Arabidopsis thaliana: one gene and its partners. The protein of the gene in region 1 interacts with the protein of each later gene in a pairwise test. Each region holds a gene or a part of one and is shown in the gene's direction. Other genes may lie near its edges.

Region 1 (4,845 bases):
AAAGGAAATAATGAGACTGAATATAGATATCTGAAAGGAAAAAGATGGATCTTACGTCCTTAACTCCAACACTTCTGAGAGAATTTCCAAGTTTCATGACAATGTCGTAGACTTCTTGGTATGTTTGCCAGACATACTTACCCGGCTAAGAACAATCAAAATAACAAGTGAATTTTATAATAACATGAAACGAAAATCACAAAATCAAAATCAATAACAAACAGTAACAACACCTTTCCATCTACAATCTCGCGGCGTCCCAGCATTGGATTGTTTGGATACTTCTCAACAGACATGCTGCAATAAACAATAACAGTAGAAAAATGTAAGTCAACAACCACAAAATATCACCAAACCACACACAAAGCAAAACAAAAAATGTCAACCAAATTCATGCAACTGTTAATTAATCACATGCCACTCAAAACGATGTTATTATAGACAAATGGCAAAATCATTAACCAACAAATTATATTTCTATCGATTAGAGCAACTTAGGTAGATCTTGCGATCCGAAAAACTTAAACAAACATGAATCAAATCCAGATAAACACTAGACGAAATTAAACTATACGATTCTTACTACTTGAGAATCCATAAAGAGCAAAAAACGCAAGTCAGAACAAATTCCATGATCAGTCAACAGATCAAGGATCAAAATCTCAGCAAGAATCGGAAACGAGGCTCATGCAACACAAACTCCGATCGGTTAAACGAGAAATCTCACCGGAAAACATCCCAACAACTATCCATTCCTTCGATCGGGTCGGGAAATCCGTCCTTGGCAAAGATACTCCGGTACACTGGACCAACTGATGGTCTTCCATCGCTACCTTCTTTGCCTTCTTCAACTTGGAAGATGTATTTCTTCTGCTGCGACATGATCTCTCTCTCTCTCTCTCTACTTCGTTCTCGTTCTCTTCTCTCTCTATCTGTAGAACGAGAAACTTCTGACGCGTTTTCTCAGATCGGAGAAGAAGTTAATAGAGACTTTCAACTACGACTGCGATTGGTTGCTACTCACTGACCATAAACCTGAAAAAGTCAAAGTCATATTCAACCTCTTATTGGGCCGTATACGTATCATCATATTAGGCCCAATAAAGTCATATTATCCAAATTGAAATTTATATTAGCCAATATTTAGATTTTATAATTAAGATGTCAAGAAACAAAACAAAAAGTGTGTGATTTTGATTTAAATAACTTTAGATTTTATCAATATTTTATCCCCCAATTTAATTTTTTTTTTAGAGGTTATCAATTAATCTACGATAATTAAAAATATGCTTATTACTCTATTAGTATGTGTGTTTGTGGATAGATTTGACTAGTTGCACACAGATATGATATTTGTTAAACATTAGTTATCAAAACAAAAAAATAAATATAAATTTTCAATTCATAAAAAACCATATAAGCAAGAATTTGAGATTTTGATATCCGTTTAATCTCGATACAAATTAATATTAACATGTACATTATCAAGTAACAATACTTATCTTGTGCTTATGCTTAGTTGCTGATAGTGGAGGGAAAAGGGTAATAGAATTGGAGGGTTAATGGCGGGAAAATGTCGATAAAGTCCCTTCCTTTATATAACATACATAAATTTTCTCGCATTTAAGAATTTTAACATCCGCTAGATCCTTCTTTCTTCCAAACCCTTAAGCTCCACCTTCGTTTTCCCCAATTTCTCTCTCTCTCTGCCTTCGTTTATCTATGTCTTGAAAAGTGAAAAGCTTTAGGGCTTTTACAAGTCTGAGAACTCCATCAATAACCTGGTAATGGTCCGATTGACATGTTTGATGTTTTGCGAATAATCTAGGGTTTCATTTTTTTTAAGGAATTTAGGGAATATCTCGTTTGAGTCTTTCGAATAGCTTTTATTTTACCCAATTTCATGTTTTTAGTAGTGAATTCAGGTGGGAATTTGTGAAGAATAATTGCGACAATGGCATCTGGTGTTTTCGAGGATGAAGCTGAAGGAACTATAACGATCAATGAATATATCGAAAGGCTTGACGCAGAAGAGCTGGTAATGTTCTCTTTCTCCTCTTGATCAGTTTTAAAGCTTATGTATGTTTCTGATCCTTACGAAAGTTTAATACTCTTCCACATTTTCACTCCTTGGTTGGTGATAAATCGTTTAGATTTAAGTGTAAACAAACGTCTTGAAATTGGATTCTGACCTTAAATTGACTACCTTTTCTGAAGCTAGTGGAGTGTGTTGGATTGTTATTGTACAGTCTCTGAGGTTTTGGCTAGCTAGTAATGATAGTGTGTGTCTCTTAATTAGTTTCTATTAATTTCAGTAGTGTGTATCTGTTTCTGTAATCCTATGTTATTTGGGTTTAGGGGTTTAATATTCATTAACTGCTTTTGTGATTCTTGATGTTAAGGCAGCGGATTTGGTGTTGGGTGGAGATGAAGGAGATGAGTGTACTTTCCCAAAGGGTTACATGAAAAGGCAAGCAATTTTCTCATGCATTACATGTACACCAGAGGGGAATGCTGGAATTTGCACTGCTTGTTGCTTATCTTGTCATGATGGCCATGAGGTAAATATGGTTGATATATAGCCAGGTTATGTATTTTGAAATCTGATTTCATAGTGTTAATTGGTTTCCTAATGGTTGAACATTGTTCTGGTTATGAAGCTTTTGGAGCTGTGGACTAAGAGAAATTTTCGATGTGATTGCGGGAACTCAAAGTTTGGAACTTTGGCTTGTAAGCTTCTCCCGAGCAAAGATATAGAAAACTCTGAAAATTCTTACAACCATAATTTCAAAGGCTTGTACTGCACTTGCGACCGACCTTACCCTGACCCAAATGTGGAAGAACAAGTAGAGATGATTCAGTGTTGTCTCTGTGAGGATTGGTTTCATGAGGAGCATCTCGGTCTCACACCTTCAGACAGTGTTGGTAGCCAGGTTTGTGGCCAGTGCTTAATCTTGTTGTTTACGATTGATTTTTTTTGTTGTTGGCGCTTAGTGCAATTTGTTATGTGATGTTAACAGATTCCAAGGGATGAGGAAAGTGAGCCGATCTATGAAGATTTCATTTGTCAAAACTGCTCCCCAGCATGTTCGTTTCTGACACTTTATCCTGAGAACTTGTGGGTTGTTGCTAAAGTAGATTCCACTGGTTCTGCTAATGCTTGTTCAGAGACAATTGAGTTAGACAAAAACCACATGGATTCTGAACCCGGCCAGCCAGAGAACGGTACTGATGCTGAGAAATCTGTTGTAGGAAAATGTTCTGAGACGATCAGTGACTCAGAACCTGGCCAGCCTGAGAACGGCACTGAAGCCGAGAAATCTGTTGTGCAAAAATGTTCTGAGAAGATCGATGAATCTGAAGCCGGCCAGCCTGAGAACAGTACTGAAGCCGAGAAATTCGTTGTGCGGAAATGTTCTGAGAAGATCGATGGCTCTGAAAATGTTCCTGCAGCTGGTTGTGTTATTAGGACTGATCTAAACTCGTGTCCTGAGTTTGAGAAGAAACCTTTGTTTTTGACCAAAAACTGGAGGAACATCCTATGCAGATGCGAAAAGTGCCTTGAGATGTATAAGCAGAGAAAGGTAAGCTATCTACTTGATGCAGAGGACACAATTGTTGAATACGAGAAGAAGGCGAAGGAAAAAAGAACAGAGAAACTGGAGAAACAAGAAGGTGAAGCACTTGATCTTCTGAATAATCTAGACCACGTATCCAAAGTTGAGCTCCTTCACGGAATCAAAGACTTCCAAGACGGACTCCAGGGTTTAATGGTATATATTGTCACCATCTATGAAAGAAATTTGATTACAATTCTCAGGAACCACTTCATTTAAAAAGACTTGATTCGTTGTTGGTTTTGTAGGAGTCTGCTGGGCCATCAAAGGCGATAACTTCTGCAGATATCGAGCAAATGTTTTCAAAACTGAAAAACAAACGTAAAAGGATGGAGTGAGAGGAGTTATAAAGGTAGTAAGTCTTTCTTTCGACATTTCATGTTAACTTTTTTTAGATATATGTTGTTTCGTTGGTTTGAAATGAAGAATGAGGAGGTTTCTTTCCTCTTCCTCTGCTCTTGTCTGTCTTTAGTTTCCTAAGTAATGCAACCAACTTTTTACTTTAGTGCATGAAGTTTGTAGCTTATGAAACAGTCGACTACTATATATAATAAGCTACTAGTTCTAGAACTACTATTTACTTTTATCTTTCCAACTATTTTTATATGAATTTAGTAAATACTCTTATCTTCATAATGTGTCTTGGACTCGGAAATACTTTGAGCATGCTAAAAGGAGAGCTTTTTATCGTCTTTTATTATAACCAACGATGCCCCATTGTCAAAACAACTCATTAACAGAGAGAGAGCCAAAAAGGTAAGGAACAGAGCAACAATTACACATCGGTAATGTCTTGCGACATACTAAGGAAGTCGAAGATCATCAATTACACATTTCGCAATCTCATGTGCTCTTTTGTTGGATGTAGGAGATTGTTAATATACCGCTTTGTAACTCCGGAAGCTCCTTTAAGAAGCTCTATGGAGCATGCTAAAAGAAGAGCTACTACAAACTACACACGCAAAGTAAAAAACTATTATAAATTGGGCCTTCTAAAGTACTAAGAATTAGGTTTTGGGCTTCGGAAAACCAAATTCAGTTTACATGTGAGGTCATCATGTTTTTTGTTATGACAAAAATTAATTAAATAGTATTGTAGGCCTGACCAAAAAAAAAAAAAAAGTTTGCCAGAAATCACTTAACCGAATATTAATTCTAGGTCAGTTATTACTTATTAGTGTTTTTTTGTTGTCGACATGAGTTATTGTTGTTTTTAAGAAAATATAGA
Region 2 (6,640 bases), on another chromosome or scaffold:
CGGTTCCAAACGCCAATTGATGGATGTTCTACCAAATTTAATCTACTTTTACCAAACCATGACAAATATGAATAAACATTACTTGATAATAATTTTGTGAGTGAACAAACTTTTTTTTTTTCGAAACCAAACCAAGCTGAAAAAAACTCAACGATTTTCTTTGTTTAAAATACGTTAGAAAGGAATATGTATTATGCCGAAATAAGTAATATCGATCAGGCCACCTCTCTTATAGTTATTCTCCTAGCAACTTTAACCACTAGAAGGTTTTGTTTTCTAGTGTTTTCTAATATACGTCATCAAAATTTTCAAAAAATACTACATTTTTGTTTTAAAAACTTCCATAATTCCATTACTCGTAGAACACAAACGCAAACCATATTAATATTTTGTTGTCAACAAAAATTTCAAATTATAATTCAACTATATTTGCTTGATTACCCAATTAGATAGAAAAGAGTTAAAGAAGAAAAGAAAAGAGTTTACAGTAAATTAACGCAAACCATAATTATATTTAACACCGTATTAATCACATCAACCATATGACTTTTTTACCGTTTGCAACTTCATAATTCATATAGTATCATAATAAATTCGCAATAATACAACACAAGAGTTTCGTCGGAAGAGTAAATAATACTCAAATAGGGGGTGAGTGATACGAGCCACATGTATTCTTGAAGGGTAGATTATTGCAAACTTGGAGTAATAAAGAGAAGAAGAATGGGTTTGTAGTAGTTGCGTGGAGTATCTTTATTTGGGTAAAACTTTAATTTAGAAATAAAATTCTGTACGGACAATGGATCGTGTCCCAATCAGATTTCTTGTGGCTGCTTCGGGTCTGGTTTTGGGTCCCTTTGAAAAATTTTAGTGGTCGACACTTTTTATTTTACTCTGGCTCGTGCCTCGAGGGTCCCTCTATTCACTGTTTCTTCGTATGAAGGTATGCTTAAACATTATTTTATTTTTAAAAACCCTTTAATTTTATTTTCTTACCTTTAATCACGGTTTTGTAAATTGCTTTTTAGTCTATGGAATGATGATTGTGGCGATTGAAATCATATGTTTGGTTCTGTTGTTGACGTTGGTGAAGTATATGTGATTTGTAATGTTGAGCTTATGTATTAAAATGTTAAATGATAAATAACCTCGTAAGAAAGTGATTTCATTTAAATTTTATTTTGAGTTACATATTCAATTGGTTTTATAAAAAAATACTTCAGTGATGATTGATACCCCCATTGTGTGTGTAATTGTTACTGGGATTGAACAAAATTTATTTGTGCATGACAAACTTTCCAAATTAGTGCATAGATTGTAATTGTATAATGGACTACATGTATCTGAGTAGATATGGTTCATTAGGTTACAAACCTCTTTTTTTAAGGACACAATTTTTCGACAAGTTATATGCCACATGATTGACTACTAAATTTTCAAAAATTATTGCACTAATGTCTTTGAAATTAACAAATTATTTTGTCATTTCCGAGTTGGATTCTTACAAACCAAGGCCGAACTCACAAACTTATTTCTTTCAGTAAAAACAAAACATTGTCCTCAGAAAAATTCTGAAATGTCATCTTCCCAAATGTTTTTACATAAATAAAAATAATATACAGTTGATATTATTTTGTTCTTTCTGAATTTTGTTATGAGGTACCATTACCATATAGTACGTAGATTTACAAAAATGAAAATACGTTGTAGCCCTTGATGTTCTTCAGGTCTTCTAGTTAGTTTTTGCAGTAAATACCAACCAATTAGTTACAAGGAGTATAAGTGAACAAAGTGAGACAACTCATTTTATGCTTCCCTATAAAAAGAAATTCCCCACTGACCCAAACACACACTTCTCTTCTCTCTCTCATCTCATTGGAGACTTATAAATCCTATTACCTCACCATATCCAATAACCACCACACACAGACCAATATCCAAAAAAAAAACTAAAACTAAAAATATAATATATATCGTTTTCTTTCCAAAAATAATCATTTAAGAAACCCCATCATCTTGATAGTATTATAAAATTAATAAACCTCTCCCTGAAAATATCTCATCCTTCACCAATCAAAACCTTCTCATGTCTTCTTCTCTCCTCGACCTTTGAGGTGGAAAATTAAATATATTCCCTTAGCTTTTTTTCTCCTTTAGTTTTCTTCTTCTTCTTGAGTTTTTTTTCTTTTGATCCTCTCTAATTTCCTTGTTGATTCATCGACTAGATCTAATTCTTCTCACAAAAGACTGAGTGTGTTCTTTCTTTCAAATCTTTCAAAAACTAGGGTTTTTACTGTCTTGAAATCATATTTATTCTTCTAAATTTAGCAAAAAGAACACGATTTACTTTCCATTTCAGTCGTCTTGTCACTCTCTCTCTCTTCTTTAAAGTCTCCCTTTTTAGCAAAAATTCTCTCTCTCACAAAATTTATTTCCTCTGGCTTCTTCTTCCTCCTCCTCCATCTCTTCTCTTTACTCTCTCTTTAATCATCTCTCATTCTTGAATCTTGATCCATCAAAATCAATCCCGTTCTCGAAAGATCCATTAAAATCAAAACCTAAGCTCTCTCTCTTGCTTCTAGGGTTTTTTTGTTCGTTGTGATGGCGAGAGAAAAGATTCAGATCAGGAAGATCGACAACGCAACGGCGAGACAAGTGACGTTTTCGAAACGAAGAAGAGGGCTTTTCAAGAAAGCTGAAGAACTCTCCGTTCTCTGCGACGCCGATGTCGCTCTCATCATCTTCTCTTCCACCGGAAAACTGTTCGAGTTCTGTAGCTCCAGGTCTTTCTTTCTCTCTCTAACTTCCCTCTCTATAGATTTCTCATAACTCATCGAAGGAATCTTGTCTAGATCCAGACAAAAAACTTTAAAGAGTTTTTAGATGTATATCTGATACATAGGAGTTTACTGTATCAATCTTTATAGGACCACTAACTATTTATATAATTAAAATAGTTGTTAGAAACATTAATCATGACCATAAATGACATATATAAAGTGTATAGTAAAACTCTGTATTTAGATAAATTAAGGTATCTAACTACGGTAATATTCAAAAAGATGTAAATCTGGATATGCATATATGTATATTATTAGTATATAAATACATGCTCTATAGTAGGTATTTGTGTCAACCATGTATAAATCTATGTATATAGATATTGTGGTATGATATGTTTAAGCCGTCAATGTCATATTTATATAGAAATATGTGGGTACCATAACATGAGGAAGTATCTATATGTGTGGATGTATAAAGCTTTCCCTTTGAAGAAGTAATCTAAAAATAATATATATATATATATGTATATGTATAGATATGTTGGAATCTTTATTAGTGTTGGGAAAAGTCATTTAGAGAGATATTATTGATATTAGGGATCTAAAATGACTTATCGTATTACAGAGATACGATTTTGGATTTTTGACCCACTAGTTATCAGCTCAGTTCCTATCTTCGGGGACATACACACTTTCACAGATAATTGTGTATATATGTAACTGAAAACGATAGTGTTAACATGAAATAATGTACATGTTTGGGATTAAATGTGTTTTGTGGATTTGGTTTGCATCTTTTGATTTTAGATTTTGGTATATTGTCGGTGTTTACATATGCACATTGTTAATATCAACAGTATAGTTGTTTATAATAAGTTATTTATTGGAATGTGTTTATATTATGAAGCATGAAGGAAGTCCTAGAGAGGCATAACTTGCAGTCAAAGAACTTGGAGAAGCTTGATCAGCCATCTCTTGAGTTACAGGTTAGCTACATTCTCGAAACGACCACACATTTTCTTTCCCGATTTCTGTAACTTGCAAAATCGAGTATTACTCCGTTGAATTACCAATATGTTTTAGATTGTTGTATTTATTGACCAAGAATCTCTTAAAACTTTGTATTAATAGGTACAAAACTTTATATTATTGCATATGATTAATTAGACTCGATCCATGTAGTAGTCATGTAGAGTAGTCCTGTGTAGAGAGTTGAGCTTTAGATCATTATGGATATGATTAAGAGCTTAAATCAATGTTTTATTCTGTTAGCTGGTTGAGAACAGTGATCACGCCCGAATGAGTAAAGAAATTGCGGACAAGAGCCACCGACTAAGGTACGTTATATATGTATATTCTATGACTTTTGAACTAACTATCATTTTCTAACTAATTTTTTTTTTGATCAACCACTATCATTTTCTAACTGTGTGTTTACATGATCATATATAGGCAAATGAGAGGAGAGGAACTTCAAGGACTTGACATTGAAGAGCTTCAGCAGCTAGAGAAGGCCCTTGAAACTGGTTTGACGCGTGTGATTGAAACAAAGGTTGTTAAGAAAATTACTTGATACCATGTATAAGTTTCTCTAAGCTTACGAGTATGCAATTTACTAATACGAGATGTGTTTGCAGAGTGACAAGATTATGAGTGAGATCAGCGAACTTCAGAAAAAGGTAATAATTAACCAAAATAACGTTTATTCTTTACTTGATGATTTCAATATTAATTTTGGCAGTTTCAAGATCCAAAATTTTCATCTTCTTCTCTTTTTTTTTGGTGTTCAGGGAATGCAATTGATGGATGAGAACAAGCGGTTGAGGCAGCAAGTATGTGTCTTACCCTCTCTGTTGATAACAAATCCCTTTCTTTTGTCTACCATTAACGTACACACCCCTAAATTTAATCCCCAGTTGTCTACAACACATATGTTTGATCATACTGTGAGATAAATGAATAAACCAAGTGATATAGCGCGATTTAAAAATGTCTTTAAAACTAAAGGTAACCATGTAGCTAGTTAGTCTCTAGGGTCCTAGAGGTCTACGAGTGTGCATGCATGGATTTGGTGCGTTTTTTCTTTTTCATCTTCATTTTGTTTTTTGAAACAGGGAACCATAAACGAATATATATCTAATTCTTGTTTGATATATAGTTTGGTCGAGGCTTCATGTCAAGATTTGCTCATTCGTAGTTAGTTGATCTCTAGAGAAATTCAAAACACATGGTGCCACTAAAAACACAAAATGCAAATACTTAGCTAGAGAACTTAATGATATGTTTTGTCTTGATTTTTGCAGGGAACGCAACTAACGGAAGAGAACGAGCGACTTGGCATGCAAGTACGTGGATATATATATAGTCTTGATTATTTTGAATTTTGTATGTTTGTTATCAGTTTAATGTTAAATTTGGAATATTTTTTTTTGGTTACGTGTAGATATGTAACAATGTGCATGCACACGGTGGTGCTGAATCGGAGAACGCTGCTGTGTACGAGGAAGGACAGTCGTCGGAGTCTATTACTAACGCCGGAAACTCTACCGGAGCGCCTGTTGACTCCGAGAGCTCCGACACTTCCCTTAGGCTCGGGTAACCAATTAATCACCCTTTCTTTTTACATTCTTTTGAGTTGATAGCTTTACATGATTTTTTTTTTGTTTTTAAATTGAGACAAAGAATATAAAAATATATACTTTAAACGACCATATACATGTATGTTGTCCATATTTATTGGCATTGCAAGATATGGATGACACAGAATCGTAAATAAATTTGGTTTATTTGTTGTATATTTGTAATTCTAACAAATAACATGTTATTTTGTATATTTTACATGATATCATGCTATTTGTTAAAATTACCTGTCATAAAAAACACCACTTATTTATGGTTTGTTTTTTGAAAATTCTGGCACAAATCTAATCATCTACAAAATCACTCTAAAAAATAAGTTATTGATTTAATGTATGGTGTTGTGCAGCTTACCGTATGGTGGTTAGAGATGGAACAATTCAAAGAAGTTGATGGAGTGAGGAGAGTAATGTAAATCTTTTTAACTCGGTAGTAACAAGAGACAATGTCTAAGTAGTGAATTCTCAAATGTTTGTGTAAGTTTCTGCCTATGGAAGAGGCTTTCATTTTTATGATTTTCACTATGTATGATCTCTCTTCACTGCATTTCTGGTTAGTAACGCTTGTCACCGATAAACTTTCTCGTTATGGAAAGTTAGAATATAAAATATTGTAGAATTTTGATTATCGATATACTCTTGGTTAGGGATCAAAAATATATTTTAGTGATGCCTCAAATAACTAATAATCATCATAGGACTCAGTCTCATTAGAAATTTTAGTGTAACAAAAGTGTGATTCGAATTCATCTTGTTGTTTTGTTGAATTTGTTGCAAAGTTTTACAAGTTTTCTCAGACCAGAGATTTCAAGTGTCTTCATTGGTGATGATTCTGGTGAATTGATGATCTTACTTGTGTGTGTGACACTTGCAATGTGTCTTGTTTGAGAAACACATTTGTAGTTTAGTTGGAGCTGTGCGGTTGGATGAGACTGAGTTCTATGATAATAAATTAGAAGCAAAGTTTCAAACCATATTCATACGATTCATTATGTTAGCAACAAGAAATATGAATATGGTTTGAAACTTTGCTTCTAATTCATCATTCGTTACACAACGTCCAAAATCTAAAAAAGTTTCAGATTTTCTCAAAATTCAGTAAATGGGCCTCTATATAATGAGGTTTGACGTTTTAGAGATACTTTGCACAAGAAAGAAGGTTCTGGTCGGATCGTTACACACCGACCTTTGACCGGTTCATCAAAACGTGTCCGGTTTTAT
Region 3 (3,583 bases), on another chromosome or scaffold:
AGTGTTATATTTGTATTTATATCTTTTAATTAAGTATTTATTGAATTATGTATATACATTGATTGTTGCATTCATCTTTTTTACTTAGTATGCCATCTATTCAATTAGATGAACACATTGTAATACTATAATAAATTACGTATGTTTAGTTACGATAGTGCTTTAATTTTGATCTAAACCACATGATCTAGTCAGAACGCTTTGATCGATATTTGTTTGTGTTTATTTTTTTTGTTGTTGCTAAATTGTAAATATCAGTAAGGAATGAAAGTTGGGGCGTACAAGAAGTTAGACCTATAAATATAATTGCTACTTTGCCAAAAAGGTATAAAAACAAGGGAACATATACAAGAGAATTTTATGAGATTCAATAAAAGAGCTTTAGTGGAGCCACACGGTTGCATCAGTCTTGAGAAGCTGCGCAAATGTCGTCTTGCTGAGATTGAGTTACGGAGTAACTTGTATATTGTTTTGGAGTAACTTGTGCTTGGGTTCAATTGGTTTACTAGTACTTTATGTAGCAAGTTATAGAACAGTTCATATCTGTATATACAGTTTGTGAGGGTGGCATTTCCACAGTCTCTATTGGTATTGTATGTTTATGAGACAATTCATGTTACGTATATGAATTGTTACAAAACTTTATGTTGTGACCAGCTACAAAATTAGTTACCAAGTCAATATCCATGGCCACGACAACACAATAGCGGCCACTATACTAGTGAACAAATCATCGGTAGCTATACTTCTTGGAAATGGTAATGAATACTACAAAAATAACCCCACAATATTCTTAAGTTTTTTGTGTGGCTACACGCCTACACTAGCTTAGTCATGGATAAAGTCGTTTACATATGTGATATGTCCGCCTAACCAATGAGGATTCTGATTTCTGAATCGGGCAGATTTGTCCGGAACACGATCTATGCTCATGTAGGTCCTCATCACTCTTGCAATGATCTTTACCACAATTAATTCACAAATTCAACTTAAAATCTTATAAGTTGAAAAAGCTCCGATCCTCCCTCTTTGTTCACATTAAAACAAAACAGAACTTATTGAACACATATCTGCATGACTGCATTTTAAAAAGAAAACTAGCTGTATTGGGCTATGTTGTGGGCTTCGCTAGCCCATGTAGGTTGAATATCTCTTGTCATAGTAATGACCATCTATATTGAAATAAAATTCTTATGATAACACAAACCATATTAAATCTGAACATTGATTCACGCAAATAGAGATAGTTGGCACCAAAAGTCTAAGACGCACACTCATCTTCATAGGAAACCCAAACCCTAAGAAATGGAAAATTAACAGCTTCATAGTTCAAACGCAGAATAAAAATAACTACAAAGGTAATATTCAGTTTTCACATAAATCATTTTCCTTTTTTCTATAACAAATGGATTTCCTTTTTTAAACAGGAAAATACCTGAAAAAGTTAAGGCAAAGGTGGCTACTAAATTATTTATATATCTACGTTCCCTTAGCTCTCTGAACTTGAGTCTAAGATAAAGAAACTCTCGACGACATCTTGAGAATCGAACGAGAATGATCCAAAATCTGCAAAAATTACCCCAAGACCTCCAATCCTCGGCAATGAAGATGCCTCCTCCCTTTTCTGCGTCGAAGACTCAATACTTGTTCCACGACGAGTCATCGGAAAACTCTAAAAAGAGTTTGGTCTCCACAACTCTTTCTTTGTCGTCTTGTGAAAACCCTAATAAGAGGAAGATGAACTCTGACGAAGTTCTCAATATTTCTTGCATACCAAGAGACTACAAATTAACACAAGTAGAAAGAAAGATTGCACGAATGAGGAATCTCTCGTATCAAGAAAAGGCAGAGGACGAATGGTACGGTGTCTCAACAGAACTAACACTCTTCAAGGATCCGTGGATCATCAAAAAGGTACTAACCACTAGCGATCTTGGCCAGATATACAGGAGAATCCCTAATATTTGAATCAATATAGATGTTCTGGACATATTCTTAAATTATTTCATATCGATCTGATTTTTTTTTTTTAGTCATAAAATATGAAAATATTTGTAAATGTAAAATTTAAGAAACGCTTTTCAGAAACCATTTATTTACTAAAAAAAATATATGACTAAAGAAAAGAGTTTTGATCCTTTGGTCAGGTTTTTCACTTTGCTTCAGTCTTGGATATGGCTCCCAACTCAGTCTCAAATACTCATTGCTTGTTGGACACGGAGTCACCAGAAAACGCTGAAGAGAGTTTGGTCTCCCTGGATCTGTGTTTCTATGACAAAACATGGCCACATGATCCCAATGTTGCTTACAATAAACCAACGTCCGAAGAAGCAATAAACCTGGCGTGGATGAGGACTATGTCGAAGAGAGCAAGAAAAGAAGAGGAGAAGTACTACGTCTCGACAGAACTAACTCTCCTCACCGTCGCTGACCCATGGACCTTGAAGATGGCAATGACCAAAAGCAGTATTGGCAACCTATACCGTCTTGTTCTAAAGGCGAGCTTTGTAGACATCCACATTCTGAGATATCTCCCTTTGGATGATCAAATGATGGTCAAAGAAGACTCTGGATTAGCAGTCGAGGTGTATGATCACGACACTGACTCTGTGCACAATCTGGCTCTTAAGAAATGGGCCAAATCTTCAAGCTTTGTTCTCGTCAGCGGATGGCGTAAGTGCTTTGTCGACAGAAGAGGTTTGCAGGTTGGCGATGTGATTGGAATGTATTGGGATCGTTCTGAATCTAAGCTTCATTTTTGTGTGCTTTCTCGTTCCGAAACAATGGATTCAGCTCCTCTTCCTCCAAGTCCATAGGACCTCACTAGCTATGGAGGCTCTGCAGAGAGATTCTTATTTTCTTTATGTAATCGTCAAACAAGTGATTGGTGTTGTTTCTGTTTTTTTGTTGTTGTCTCGGTGTTTTGGTTTCATGTGTTTTTGTTTTTTAAGTATACCGGTGTTGTTTTTTATGGTTTCATGTGGTTTTTATATGTTTTAAGTGTTAATAAAGAATCCTGCTCTCATTATAAGTAAAAGTAGTTGAGTTATTTGTTACAAACCCACATATAACAATGCAACATAGTAGTTGTAGACAAATCCACCACGGGGCATTAGATATTACAAAAGAATATTTCACATTCTCTTAGTGTTTTAGGATAAAGGAAAGGTCGAGTTCGCGAAGTCATTTTCCACATAACCAAATTGCATTGTTGTCTCTTGCTTAGCATCGTCTCGAGCATCAATTTTCAATTTAAAACACAAAGAGGAGATATATATGTGGAAAAATTAGGCAGAGAATCAAAGATACTTTTCTTGAACAAGACCAGTACTAAATCGTTTTAAAAAGGTACTCAAGTTTCAACTATTACACTTGCTACTGCTTCCTTCACTATCAAACTACGAATCTTAAAGATAAAACATGCGACTAAGCACACGCATGAGATCAATCCCAAAAGGTAAACGTCACTGGGAAAGTTAAGAACAAATCCAGAGAGCCTATCGACTCAATTTATATAGACAGTGTCACTATGTCTTGGGGGTCTATCAGGAACCGTACCTGGTTTGAATCTGGACGCTTCATG

What was found.
Region 2: the proteins of AT4G23860 (region 1) and SVP interact in a two-hybrid assay, tested with the Arabidopsis thaliana proteins (one large-scale study listed by BioGRID).
Region 3: the proteins of AT4G23860 (region 1) and AT2G33720 interact in a two-hybrid assay, tested with the Arabidopsis thaliana proteins (one large-scale study listed by BioGRID).

The regions. Positions count from the first base shown.
Region 1 is NC_003075.7:12,407,382-12,412,226, forward strand, and holds AT4G23860 (PHD finger protein-like protein), read left to right. Parts: upstream 1-1,625; 5' UTR 1,626-1,784; intron 1,785-1,913; exon of another isoform or gene 1,914-1,916; 5' UTR 1,917-1,954; coding exon 1,955-2,038; intron 2,039-2,152; exon of another isoform or gene 2,153-2,402; coding exon 2,403-2,561; intron 2,562-2,660; coding exon 2,661-2,933; intron 2,934-3,020; coding exon 3,021-3,773; intron 3,774-3,865; coding exon 3,866-3,955; 3' UTR 3,956-4,297; downstream 4,298-4,845. Other genes in the region: LACS4 (AMP-dependent synthetase and ligase family protein), read right to left, coding at 56-145, 234-297, 728-882.
Region 2 is NC_003071.7:9,577,816-9,584,455, forward strand, and holds SVP (K-box region and MADS-box transcription factor family protein), read left to right. Parts: upstream 1-1,831; 5' UTR 1,832-2,601; coding exon 2,602-2,783; intron 2,784-3,690; coding exon 3,691-3,769; intron 3,770-4,055; coding exon 4,056-4,120; intron 4,121-4,235; coding exon 4,236-4,335; intron 4,336-4,420; coding exon 4,421-4,462; intron 4,463-4,573; coding exon 4,574-4,615; intron 4,616-5,086; coding exon 5,087-5,128; intron 5,129-5,226; coding exon 5,227-5,378; intron 5,379-5,769; coding exon 5,770-5,788; 3' UTR 5,789-6,086; downstream 6,087-6,640. UniProt on the Arabidopsis thaliana protein: Transcription repressor that inhibit floral transition in the autonomous flowering pathway, independent of photoperiod and temperature. Acts in a dosage-dependent manner.
Region 3 is NC_003071.7:14,262,174-14,265,756, forward strand, and holds AT2G33720 (AP2/B3-like transcriptional factor family protein), read left to right. Parts: upstream 1-1,558; 5' UTR 1,559-1,602; coding exon 1,603-1,914; intron 1,915-2,147; coding exon 2,148-2,816; 3' UTR 2,817-3,029; downstream 3,030-3,583. Other genes in the region: AT2G33730 (P-loop containing nucleoside triphosphate hydrolases superfamily protein), read right to left, coding at 3,506-3,583.